Arabidopsis thaliana: one gene and its partner. The protein of the gene in region 2 interacts with the protein of the main gene of each other region in a pairwise test. Each region holds a gene or a part of one and is shown on either strand. Other genes may lie near its edges.

Region 1 (4,124 bases), on a different chromosome or scaffold from region 2:
ACCACAGATCAAAACCATAGAAATCACACATCTGAGATTCGAATTCAATCGATTCAATTACATAGGAGGATTCGAAATTAACCTGATACCGAACAGAGAGATTCGAAAGATTCTTCGGAATTCTGATCGGTACAGATCTGAGAAAGAGAAATCAATCTAGATCTATCCAACGGGAATCCAAGGATCATCGGCTGCCGGAGAAGATAACAGAGACAGTTTCCGGTGCTAGAATGAACGGAGGAGGTAAAAACCGAGCAGCAAATAGGATCCGGAGTCTCTGACATATTGTTTGGTGGAGAGGAGACGTAAGGAAGGCAAGGAGAGAACATGACGAGCTCCTCCGTACAAGTCAGAACCGGTGGAGAAGACGAAGGTGCTTGCTGCGTCGCGGTTACGGCGGAGGAGGAGGAGAAGGTGATCGTGAGTATGAGGATGAAAACGCCGGTGATTTTGGTCGCCATTTTTGTTGCTTCAGAGATCTCTCGTCTTCGTGATTAGAGTTAGTTACAGAGATTTCACACTTATGGCTGATTCGTAGCGATAACTGAGATTGTATGACGATGGTGGCGGGAAATAAACAGTTGTGGAGGTTTGATAACGAAGTTACTAATTTGCCCCTATATTGATATTTTCGGGTGATGCTGAGTTGGTAGTGACTGGCCACTAAGGTCCGTCCACGTGGGTGAAGATTAGTTTCGTTTGGGCTTTTAGATTGAATATCAAAGCCCACAGTTTATGTTTTTGACATTTTATAGTTTAGTTGACTTTGAAATTTTATACTTCTGTTTTTTAAAGAGGATAAATAAAAATCTAATGGTTACGGCGGTTGAGGCGAACAAAACCTTCAACAGATCATACCGCTTTTTATTTACCATTCATCAATTATAGTCCGCAGTAGTTCGGACCAAAAAAAAAGAAAAACCGCAGCAAACCGTTTTTATATACAAATAAATTTGGTACGCACCGATTTATTGTCCGCCCAAAAATAAAATGGATTAAACTGCAGAAAAATTAGACCTTTTTGTCCGCCGCATCCATTCAAAGTTTAAGTGGGAAAGTTAATTACTTATTTAGTTGATATTCGTTTGGACGAGGGCTCCCGAACACATCGTAAGCTAAATCGGTGCTGACGAATAACCAGCCCACAACAAATAGGAAATGTATGGAATAGTAATACTATGAATGACCCAATATAGAATACTGGTAATAATATCATCAAAAGAACGTTCTCATGTGCTTCCAAACATACTGAACTCAATATAAATTTAGAGAATCAATATAAATTTAGAGAACATAACAAACATAGACAATTAAAAAAAAGAAAAAACGAACAAACATAGACTTGTGAAACCGTTATAATTATCCATGGAACTGTTGATGCTTGTGAAACTGTAAAATCCACCAAAATGCCAGATATTCACGAAGAAACCTGCTCAACAGCTGCTAGAAAAAGGATAGTGATTGTGATTTATCCGTCCATAACGATCCATGGAGCTGTTGATGTTTGTGAAACGATAAAATCACAATTTCCTCGTAGCTGTTATGCAGATATCTTCGTGAAATATCTGATATCTTGAAGAATTTTTCTTGAAGGCTCTTTGCTTAGTTTGAATATTCGTTGACCGTGGACTCGGTGGTTCGAGTTAAGTTTCGTCAGAAGATGTTTTTTCTTGTCGTGGTTTTGTTTTTCGGTGGTCGTGAAGATCGTGAAGTGTTGGCTAATAATGGTTTACGTATGGTGGAGCATATCGGAATCTCAGTTTCTGAATAAGAACGCAAACTTTACCATATTTATATTGCAAAAGTTGGTCATGCTCTTTATCAAATAGAGAAGTTAGATCATGCAGATTAAGCCACATCCTGACATCCTTCTTTTTGTTTTTTTTTTTTATGCGACATATATCAGTTTCTATTTATTTACGAACTCCCAAAAAGACTCCAACACAAATTAAACCAATAAACTCAAACAACCATATTAAAATGAACAATTCACAAGTAAGTGTTTGGTGTTGCTTATAATTTTAATGGTTTCTACAAATTTATCTACGTATCTTATTTTTTTTCTTGTTTTTTTCATTGAAAAGGTCAGCAATCAAATTTCAATCAGGTGAAACTCAAAAACTTTATATAATCACAAAAAATAATTCAACAAACATATCCTTAAACCAAACGTAATCATATTCTTTCACAAACTTCACCATAAGGTGTTGCAAAAGTTGGTCATGCAAATTGAGCCACATCCTTATTTTCGTCTTTTTCTGCGGCCTCAACTTCTTATTTATTTACGTAACCACAAAAGAAAAGACTCCAACACAAACCATTAAGCGATCAAACAACTAAATTAAAAAAAAATCTTGAGAGATTCTTGGAACACAAGAAAAACATGAAACCTAGAATGTGTTTAATCTTGTTTATTGCTTTAATGAGAGTAATGTCGATTGTTTCTGCTCAGTCGAGTTGCACAAATGTTCTAATCAGCATGGCGCCGTGTCTCAGCTTCATCACTCAAAACACTTCTCTCCCGTCTCAACAATGTTGTAACCAGTTGGCTCATGTTGTCCGGTATTCTTCTGAGTGTTTGTGTCAGGTTCTCGATGGTGGAGGTTCTCAGCTTGGGATCAATGTTAATGAGACACAAGCTCTTGCTTTGCCTAAAGCTTGTCATGTTGAAACTCCTCCTGCTAGTCGCTGCCATAGTAAAATAAACTCACTTTCCATGCATTAGATTCATATTTTTGCTATCTTTTTTCTCTCACACATCAGAACTTTATTATTTTCAGGTGGTTCTTCGGTTAATTCACATTCAGGTAAAGGACTAACTTATAAATAGAACCTAATCTAATCATATCTATTTTGACATTATCCTTTTTTGACATTATCTCTATGAACAGAACATGGAAATGGATCAAAAACAGTCCCAAGAGAAAAGTCATCATCTGATGGTTCTATTAAGTTCTCATTCCCTCTTCTCGCCATCCTATTCACAGCTTCTTACATTACATTAATCTACGCAAAATACTGACTTATTTTACCAATAAAGCTTTTGGCCTCTTTGAAGAACATATTCATTTTTAGTCTCTATTAAATCGCGGTGTATTGTGCTGAAGTATTTTGTGCTCTAAATCCCTACTTTCTAGGTGATATTGGTTTGTAGTCCAAAGAGTGTGATTGTATATCTTTGATTTATGCAATAAACATTATTTTCTAGCTAGGACATATTTGAAATACATGATATATATATGTATTGTTATCACTAACATATGTCTAAACATCACTTAAAATTTAGAGGGAGTACTATTGTTATCACTAACACATGTATTGTAGAAGGAGTACGATTGCTATCACAAACACATGTATTGTTGCCATTTTAGTCACAGTTTCTAAATATGAGCTTTGTCTGTTACCCTAAATGTTATTGCTCAATGTTCACCATAAACTTTTGCGCAGAGTGTCGCGTCTCTATCCACTTTTTCTTTTGCCGGTAATTTTACGAAGGGAATTATCGCCTTTCTCAAAAATTTCTCTATTTTTAAGTTGCATACTTGTAAATCGTTTTGGTATTTCTCTTTTAATATTCCAGAACATATGTTGTGAAAGCTATAGACAAACATTTATATGCTGGCTGAAATCTGGAAGACAGTTTCTAGCAAGAGTCAAACAAATGTCTAGAGAAGTCAAAGCAACAATGATAATGGAAATTAACTAACACCTACTTTTCTTAATCAAACTAGTGATTCACTAATTTAAATGTGAGATTGACAGAAAAATTCTGCAAACTTTATTAAATTTAGTGATTCTTATAGACTTGTTTAGAAGACAAGTCATCAGTTTTTTTATAGAATGTAGTATTGTTTTGTGATAATGAATTTGTAGTTTTTGTTCGCAAGTTATACTAAATATTAATTGATATGTGCATGAAATGAAGGTCAAATAATGGTAGAAGGGGACCCTTGAACAAGACCACCTTTGTCTCCATTTCCACAAATCACAACCTCATGTCCCTTTAGAACATGGAGCCAATTATTGCAACTCCTTGCCCTCCCATAGTTTTGTTTAAATATGTCAAATCTTTATTTTCATATACAAAAATCATTGGTATCCTGCAATAAATATTTTCATCAACG
Region 2 (8,917 bases):
TGTCAGGTAAACATAATATTTGTTTTTACTAGAAAGGCAACATATTTGGTTTTCATAACAATACATCATGGTGAAACTATAACATACCAAATGGTAACTCTTTAAGAAAAAGAAAAACAAATAATAACTCAGAATAATATATTTTTTTGTCATTTACAATTCACTCATTAGTTATTTTTTTGAATATAATTTTGAATATTTGTCTATTGAATGTAAGAATCTAACACACATTAGTTATTTTTTTAACAATACATAGGAAAACGAGGTGGTTCTATATTAAATTGGGGAACAAGGCTAAAGATAGCTCTCGAGGCTGCACAAGGTTCGTATTGATTTCTCAAATACCTAACCTCATCATATTCTTTCTTTGTTTCTTTTGCTTTGACTGACTGAAACTTTGTGAAAATAATATTTTTCATAGGATTAGAGTACTTGCATAATGGATGCAAACCCTTAATGGTTCATAGAGATGTTAAAACCACAAATATATTGTTGAATGAACATTTCGATACCAAACTTGCTGATTTTGGGCTTTCGAGATCATTCCCGATAGAAGGGGAAACTCATGTATCAACTGTTGTTGCTGGAACTATTGGTTACCTCGATCCCGAGTAAGTATTACTTCTTCAATAAGAAAATATATTTTGTAGATATTTTGTCTCCAATGATTACGTAATATTCTTGCACTTTGAACTATTTTATAGATATTACCGAACAAATTGGTTGACGGAGAAAAGTGATGTGTATAGTTTTGGAGTTGTATTATTGGTGATGATTACAAACCAACCCGTGATAGACCAAAACCGCGAAAAGAGACATATAGCAGAATGGGTGGGAGGAATGCTTACGAAAGGAGACATCAAAAGTATTACTGATCCAAATCTCCTTGGAGATTATAATTCTGGTTCTGTTTGGAAAGCTGTTGAACTAGCAATGTCATGTATGAATCCTTCTTCGATGACAAGACCGACAATGTCTCAAGTTGTTTTTGAACTGAAAGAGTGTTTGGCCTCTGAAAGCTCCAGGGAAGTGAGCATGACCTTCGGAACTGAAGTGGCCCCTATGGCTCGGTAGAGGTCCTGATTATATTTCCTATTGTATCGCGTGGATCATTATTTTACCCTATATATCCTTTACAACTATCCTAAATTTTGTGCATCAATTTTATTTTTTGTAAGCAATGAACTTCTAATTACAATAGAAGTTCAAAGTCTTTTTTCCCCCATGTTTCAGTTTATTCCAACTAACCATGAATTAAATAATGGGTGGTGGTGCATGTTTCTTTTACCAAAAATAACCATGAATTAATAACTATAGCATTTGCTTATGACCCTTCAACTTCTAACATGCAGAGTGACCTTTGTATATAAGCAGCGTCACCTAAGAGATCCAGTCACCAGTACGGAAACAGAAGAAATTCCTGACAATAAAAGAAGCAAACTCACCTCCTAGCTTTTCAAATTACAAAATTGATGAAATTTGGTTTATAGATTCTCTTCATTGGGGCAAATCATAGAAATAGTTTGGTCGACATTGGGGCAAAACATGGAATAGAACGGGACAATTTTGGAAATAACAGATTGAGAGCATCAGCAACGGCAACTTCTCAACTTCCGATTCTCAATATATGTGTGAACATAAATATAAGTGTGAACACAAATATTATTAATATTTAATTGGAAAGTATTTTAATTAAACCAATGATTGAATGACAACTGTGAGAAACGTTGTCGATGAGTTTTTCTTGGTTTCTCTAAAGAAAACTTTCCCTTACCTCTCTCCTCCTTTTGACATTTTTTTCTTATTTTATTGGTGAGAGATTTTATGAGAAACTCCCGTTGGAGTTGGTCTGAGTGTCCTTCAAACATTTTTAAAATAAATATCACACATTCACACTATAACTGCTTATTCTACTTTTAAAACCATAAAATGATTGCTCCAAGCCATTGGGAATATAATCAAATATATATACTTAATCCAAAAGGTACATAAAATTTGGTGACAAAAATTTACTTTTTGTTGGAAAAAGAAAGTATCTGAGCAGAATATTGGACGGAGCAAAGAAACAAGAGAAGGATATCAAGTAGCACAACTTGACAAATTGACAAAGGATCAAACAAGATTCATATGTTGTAATAATCTATAGTCAACTAAGGCAACACATTGCTTACAAACTACAAAGTGAAGTCATTGTCATTAATGGTTATCAGATGATTACTTATGTCCACATAATATAGAAAAAAGCATATCCTTGACAATATTGAAGATAAGAAAATTCAAGGAGAATCTAAAGACTGATTGTTCTTTCGAGTTGACTTAGTCAACGGTTTTGTGGTTCCAACTTGTAAGCTGTAATTACGGCTGGGCAAGGTAACGGACCACTCTTGTCATTTTCTCTCAACCAAATCATTTTACACCATCGAAATAATATCCTCATTAAATGTGTTCCCTCAATTATTTGATTCATTAATGTGACACTTATAAGAATTTGACTTAGGACTTTGAGAAATACCTCATATACATAATCATAAACTTATATGCATAGCTTTGCTAACTCAAAAAAAAAAACAGATCCCTTCTTTGCATAGTAAGGAAGATATTAATGGAGAGTCATCGTGTGTTCGTTGCCACTTTTATGCTGATACTTCATCTTGTTCAAGCTCAAGATCAACCCGGTACATACAAAATTGTTGTTTCAATCTATACATATGTGTTCTTCAATGGTTTCTTAGACTATAAGATATATATTTTCCATCTATTATTTCATTAGGATTCATCAATGTGGATTGCGGTTTACTCCCTCGTGATTCTCCTTACAACGCACTCGGAACCGGTTTAGTATATACATCAGATGTCGGTTTAGTTAGCAGTGGGAAAACTGGTAAAATCGCCAAGGAATTCGAAGAGAACAACAGTACACCGAATTTGACATTGAGATACTTTCCAGACGGAGCACGAAACTGCTACAACTTAAACGTGAGCCGTGACACCAACTATATGATCAAGGCTACATTCGTGTATGGAAATTACGATGGTCATAAAGATGAGCCGAACTTCGACCTTTACTTGGGTCCAAATTTATGGGCAACGGTAAGCCGCAGTGAAACTGTTGAGGAGATCATCCATGTGACGAAATCCGATTCGTTACAGGTTTGTCTTGCTAAGACGGGAGATTTTATACCTTTTATTAATATCTTGGAGCTACGACCATTGAAGAAAAATGTGTACGTTACAGAAAGTGGCTCACTCAAGCTCTTATTTAGGAAGTATTTTAGTGACTCAGGTCAAACGATAAGGTAATACTTGTTTGTTAAAAATTCTATTGTAAATTTAAATTTACCATTATATTTATAGTTTACTAGATTATATCCCACATGATACGTAGATAATATATACAATATTTAGATTCTAAATTGCTAACCCGTATAAATAGGTTTTAAACTAAAAACCTCTTTTAGTTATCTGTAAATTATGTTTTATAATTCGTGATTATTAAAATTCAAAAACTACCCATATTACCCTTAAATAATCCCTTTAGGTGAATAAATATATATTTTTGAATATTATTTTCTGAATTTAGTTGTTCTAACATGCTGCAACAAAAAAAAGAAAAAGAGAAAAAAAGAAAAAAAATCTAACGATTGAGAAATGTTTTGTTTTAATGTAATAAGTCAGATTTAAAGTTATACCCTGAATTTTTGTCATGTAAGAATTCTAAAGCACACGATAACAAACTCTTATTTTCTAATTTTCTATATTATGAGTCTTATGTAAATTTTATAGTTTACATATTTTCAATTTCTAGGTTCTATATTTTTATATTGTACCTTACTTTTTCGATTTGATTAGTTTTCATTTTTTCAAATCACAATTTCCTTTCAATTTGTTTTGCTGTTCTGTCTATTTAAAATTAAAAAACTAATAATAATTAGAAATACTATATTATTACATTGACAGTAAACATAACTTTTTATTTGTGTAATGTGGTCTAACATTTACTTGTGGCAGGTATCCAGATGATATCTATGACCGTGTATGGCATGCATCCTTCCTGGAAAATAATTGGGCACAAGTATCGACGACTTTGGGTGTAAACGTTACTGATAATTATGATTTATCACAAGATGTAATGGCAACGGGCGCAACACCTCTAAACGATAGTGAGACATTGAACATTACATGGAACGTAGAGCCTCCTACTACAAAGGTTTACTCCTACATGCACTTTGCAGAGCTTGAGACACTAAGGGCCAACGATACAAGGGAATTCAATGTGATGCTGAATGGAAATGACTTGTTTGGACCTTACAGTCCAATACCGCTAAAGACCGAAACAGAAACCAACTTAAAACCAGAGGAATGCGAAGATGGGGCATGTATTTTGCAGCTTGTGAAGACGTCAAAATCAACTCTTCCGCCTTTACTTAATGCTATAGAGGCTTTCACCGTGATTGATTTCCTACAAGTGGAGACAGATGAAGATGACGGTATGTCAATTTGACATTCTTGATCTTATTTCAAAATGTTTAGCGTGTTGTGTGTTGATTCTTGATATCATCAAGCTTTACAATCGTAGCTGCTGCTATCAAGAATGTTCAAAATGCTTATGGATTGATTAATAGAAGCAGTTGGCAAGGAGATCCATGTGTCCCCAAACAGTATTCGTGGGACGGTCTAAAGTGCAGTTACTCAGATAGTACTCCACCAATAATTAATTTCTTGTAAGATGAATCATTCAATAGATTTTCTTGATTTTTTTAATCATGTCAATTTTGAACTAGATATCTCACAGTTTCTTTCTCCAGAGACTTATCTGCAAGTGGACTAACCGGGATCATCGCGCCTGCCATTCAAAATCTTACTCACCTAGAAATATTGTAAGTCTATCTCAACTGCTGACCAAGCCAAAATTTTTGTAACCATTGGAAACAGATAATGTTTAATGAGTTATTTCACTTTTGTTAATGGAAGGGCCTTGTCAAATAACAATTTGACCGGAGAAGTACCTGAATTTCTAGCTGACTTAAAATCAATCATGGTCATGTAAGTTTTTCATGAGACACTACAATATATTCTACTCTTGACATTCTCCTGAACATGTTTGTTTATCCTTTAACTATTTTTCTACTTCAATAGAGACTTAAGAGGCAATAACCTCAGTGGCCCGGTTCCTGCCTCACTTCTTCAGAAGAAAGGATTGATGCTACAGTAAGCTATATTTTTGTTACTTTCAACCTGTTATATATATATCAGGGAAATTGATGTATTTTGTTTCTTTAACAACACTCACATTCTGCAGTCTTGATGACAATCCCCATATTCTTTGCACAACTGGTTCATGTATGCACAAAGGAGAAGGCGAAAAAAAGAGTATCATTGTACCAGTGGTTGCATCAATTGTTTCATTGGCTGTTATTATAGGTGCACTCATTCTGTTCCTTGTTTTCCGAAAGAAAAAGGCATCAAAAGTTGAAGGTATCAATAAATAAACTCAAGATTAATATTAGAGCATACATGCACATCAAACATAACAAGATTTTGCCTTATATAACCTTAGGGACACTACCATCTTACATGCAAGCATCAGATGGTAGATCGCCGAGATCCTCTGAACCAGCAATAGTGACGAAAAACAAAAGGTTTACTTACTCACAAGTTGTGATAATGACAAATAACTTCCAAAGAATCCTTGGGAAAGGAGGGTTTGGAATCGTTTATCATGGCTTTGTGAACGGTGTTGAACAAGTAGCTGTTAAGATACTCTCTCATTCATCATCTCAAGGGTATAAACAATTCAAAGCTGAGGTAAATTCTAACTTTCATCACTGTCTCGAATGAAAACATCAATGATTCAACTATCTTTAAAAGCTTAAACATATGCATTTTGGCATGGTATTTAGGTAGAACTTCTTCTTAGAGTTCATCACAAGAATTTGGTTGGTCTTGTTGGGTATTGCGACGAAGGAGAGAACATGGCTCTTATCTATGAATACATGGCCAATGGAGATTTAAAAGAACATATGTCAGGTAAGCAAACAAACATGACCTAACCATATATTGCTGTAGATTTATCGTGATAGCATCAGACATTGATATCTTTCTCTCCTTTTAAAACATAGGAACAAGAAACCGATTTATTTTAAATTGGGAAACTAGACTAAAAATAGTCATTGACTCTGCGCAAGGTTGGTTTACCTAGTATCCCTATTATTTCTCTTATATATGTTTTTTTGCTTTTCATTTGATTGAATTTTATGGATTTTGTTGCATAGGGCTTGAGTATTTGCATAATGGATGCAAACCACTAATGGTACACAGGGACGTCAAAACTACAAATATATTGTTAAATGAACACTTTGAAGCCAAACTTGCTGATTTTGGGCTTTCAAGGTCTTTTCCGATTGGAGGTGAAACTCATGTGTCAACAGTTGTTGCTGGAACTCCTGGATATCTCGATCCTGAGTAAGTATTATTATTATTATTTTTTTATTATATATTGTATTATTTTGGTAAAAGAGAGTAAGTAATATAGTTTAAAAGAATTTTGTTTTATTGGAAAGGTAAATTGATAAAATTCTATGCTCCTAAATTCTCCAGATATTACAAAACAAATCGGTTGACAGAGAAGAGTGATGTATATAGTTTTGGGATTGTATTGTTGGAGATGATCACAAATCGGCCAGTGATAGACCAAAGCCGTGAAAAGCCATATATTTCAGAATGGGTGGGGATAATGCTTACGAAAGGAGACATCATTAGCATTATGGATCCAAGTCTAAATGGAGACTATGATTCTGGTTCTGTGTGGAAAGCTGTTGAACTAGCAATGTCTTGTCTGAATCCTTCTTCAACAAGAAGACCTACCATGTCTCAAGTTCTTATTGCATTAAACGAATGTTTGGTATCTGAAAATTCAAGGGGAGGAGCGAGTAGGGACATGGACTCAAAGAGTTCCCTAGAGGTAAGCTTGACATTTGATACTGATGTGAGCCCAATGGCTAGGTAGATTACATGAAATATTATCATGCGGTATCACATAAATTTGTTTATATGTTTTTATTTACAGAACTATCCTCAAATTAGTATCTCTCTTATAGGCCACCTTTGTTAATGAACTCTGAACTTTTTGTCATTGATACATGTGTGAATAACAGTCCAAAGTCTATTATTGTTCCGCCGTAATGTATCAGTTTCAAATCAGTGCATTTTTTGTTTGGAGAATTTAGATTTACTCTTGTTCTTGATTACTATTGGAACACCTCCACTTCGGAAGCTCCTACGTTGGAATGAAATCACCCATTTCTATGTAATATAGTCTCCACCATTTTTACCATAGGGATAATCTATCATCATTTGACGATTTATCCTTTTCTTTGATTTCACACCATTTAAACAAACTCTAATGCGGATTATTTATCTATATATTTGGCTCGAGTTAAATTTTCAGATTTTTATTGGTAATTTTCTCTCTCTTTTGATTGAATCACCAATAGTAAATCTTGATATTTCAATTTAATGTTGTAGTTAACAGAAATAATTGTGTGATTCTAAGACTTTCACGTACTTAGTTAGAAAAGCAAAAAACTAGAATCAGTGGAGAACCTTGGAATTATGACAAAATTGAAGGAGATGTACTAGAAATAGACAAATGTAACTTTTGTTATAAATACTCGTAAGCTTTGTTCATGTTTATTAAACTTTTAAAACATCAACAGTTTTTCCATTGAAAATGAGAAGTAAACCCAATCCTCTCTGGGCCACCATTATCACTATCTTCACCATCCTTGTTATAGGTTTGTAATTGTAGTTACATTTACAACTATTTAAATGTTTTTTGAACAGCGTTTAAATAATTTATTTATTATCATTCGAATCTAAATTAATTGTCGAAAACATGTTATTTTTCTCTATATAAACAAATTCAATTATCTTATGTTAATTTTTTTTTTATCTAAAACGACGGAACTCTTTTTTTTTGTCATCCGATATTAATTAGAGGTCAAAATTCCTGAGAAATATTGTTTATATTGATATGATGTAGTTTGACACAAACTTTTTGTGTCAAATTATCTGTTTTAATATTTGCACTAAGTGAAATAAAAGATAAATAAAAACTTTTGAATTCCTCTTTGTCACTCTGTAATTCCTCCAAATAGGCTGAGAATGTTGGTCATCTGGTTGGGGAAGACACTATCTTCACCAGATCTAAACAGTCTGTTAGAAAAACTGCTTCTTAATTGTTATCGGTAATCATACACTTTATCGCCCAGAGAAAAGCTTGCACTTCTGAATGTAGTAGAGATAGACTTTTTCTGGGATTGCCAGCTCCCATTGTGGCGTCTCTCCATTTAATGATGTACAATATCATCATGTTCCACAGAACTTCTCTTTCTTTCCATGATCCATCCATATAGCATCGATTTCTTGAATAATTGATATCGTTTGAGATATTCCTCACTCGATTCCAAGTTTCTAAATTTGAAAACCATGATTTTTATTATAAAACTCATTTTGAGCTAACTGCCACGATTGTGCCATAAAATGCTTTTCACATTCAACTTATGATGCATCTATTTGGCATCCCCTATTATCGAATATATATATATGGTGATCGAGAACATACTTTAACGGGCTTTTCAATACCAATTTTTTGGTAGCGTCCACCAAGTAAAACTCAAGAGAGTAATAATTGATGTTAAACTAATTTCTATATTTTTTAGAACATTTAATGAAAAGTCCCTCATGGGCTGATTAAACCCTTCAAGTATCAATCTATGCAATTTAAACCCTTGCACTAAATTTTTTTGGTAAGGAAACCCTTGCACTAAATCATTAGTGAAAAAGCCTTTGTTCAACTAAAGACCCATTACAAAAATAAGCCTTTGTTTGTATTATTGTCGAAATACTTCCATTGAAT

The links.
Region 1: the proteins of AT1G51805 (region 2) and AT4G14815 interact in a protein complementation assay, tested with the Arabidopsis thaliana proteins (one large-scale study listed by BioGRID).

What each region holds. Positions count from the first base shown.
Region 1 is NC_003075.7:8,502,739-8,506,862, forward strand, and holds AT4G14815 (Bifunctional inhibitor/lipid-transfer protein/seed storage 2S albumin superfamily protein), read left to right. Parts: upstream 1-2,304; 5' UTR 2,305-2,383; coding exon 2,384-2,696; intron 2,697-2,780; coding exon 2,781-2,807; intron 2,808-2,891; coding exon 2,892-3,022; 3' UTR 3,023-3,214; downstream 3,215-4,124. Other genes in the region: AT4G14805 (Bifunctional inhibitor/lipid-transfer protein/seed storage 2S albumin superfamily protein), read right to left, coding at 83-461; AT4G14810 (uncharacterized protein), read left to right, coding at 1,407-1,502, 1,607-1,771.
Region 2 is NC_003070.9:19,219,276-19,228,192, reverse strand, and holds AT1G51805 (Leucine-rich repeat protein kinase family protein), read left to right. Parts: upstream 1-2,395; 5' UTR 2,396-2,602; coding exon 2,603-2,675; intron 2,676-2,770; coding exon 2,771-3,296; intron 3,297-4,008; coding exon 4,009-4,487; intron 4,488-4,576; coding exon 4,577-4,721; intron 4,722-4,805; coding exon 4,806-4,877; intron 4,878-4,971; coding exon 4,972-5,043; intron 5,044-5,136; coding exon 5,137-5,208; intron 5,209-5,299; coding exon 5,300-5,475; intron 5,476-5,557; coding exon 5,558-5,805; intron 5,806-5,900; coding exon 5,901-6,027; intron 6,028-6,119; coding exon 6,120-6,185; intron 6,186-6,272; coding exon 6,273-6,462; intron 6,463-6,597; coding exon 6,598-7,006; 3' UTR 7,007-7,957; downstream 7,958-8,917. Other genes in the region: AT1G51810 (Leucine-rich repeat protein kinase family protein), read left to right, coding at 1-6, 257-322, 422-611, 705-1,074.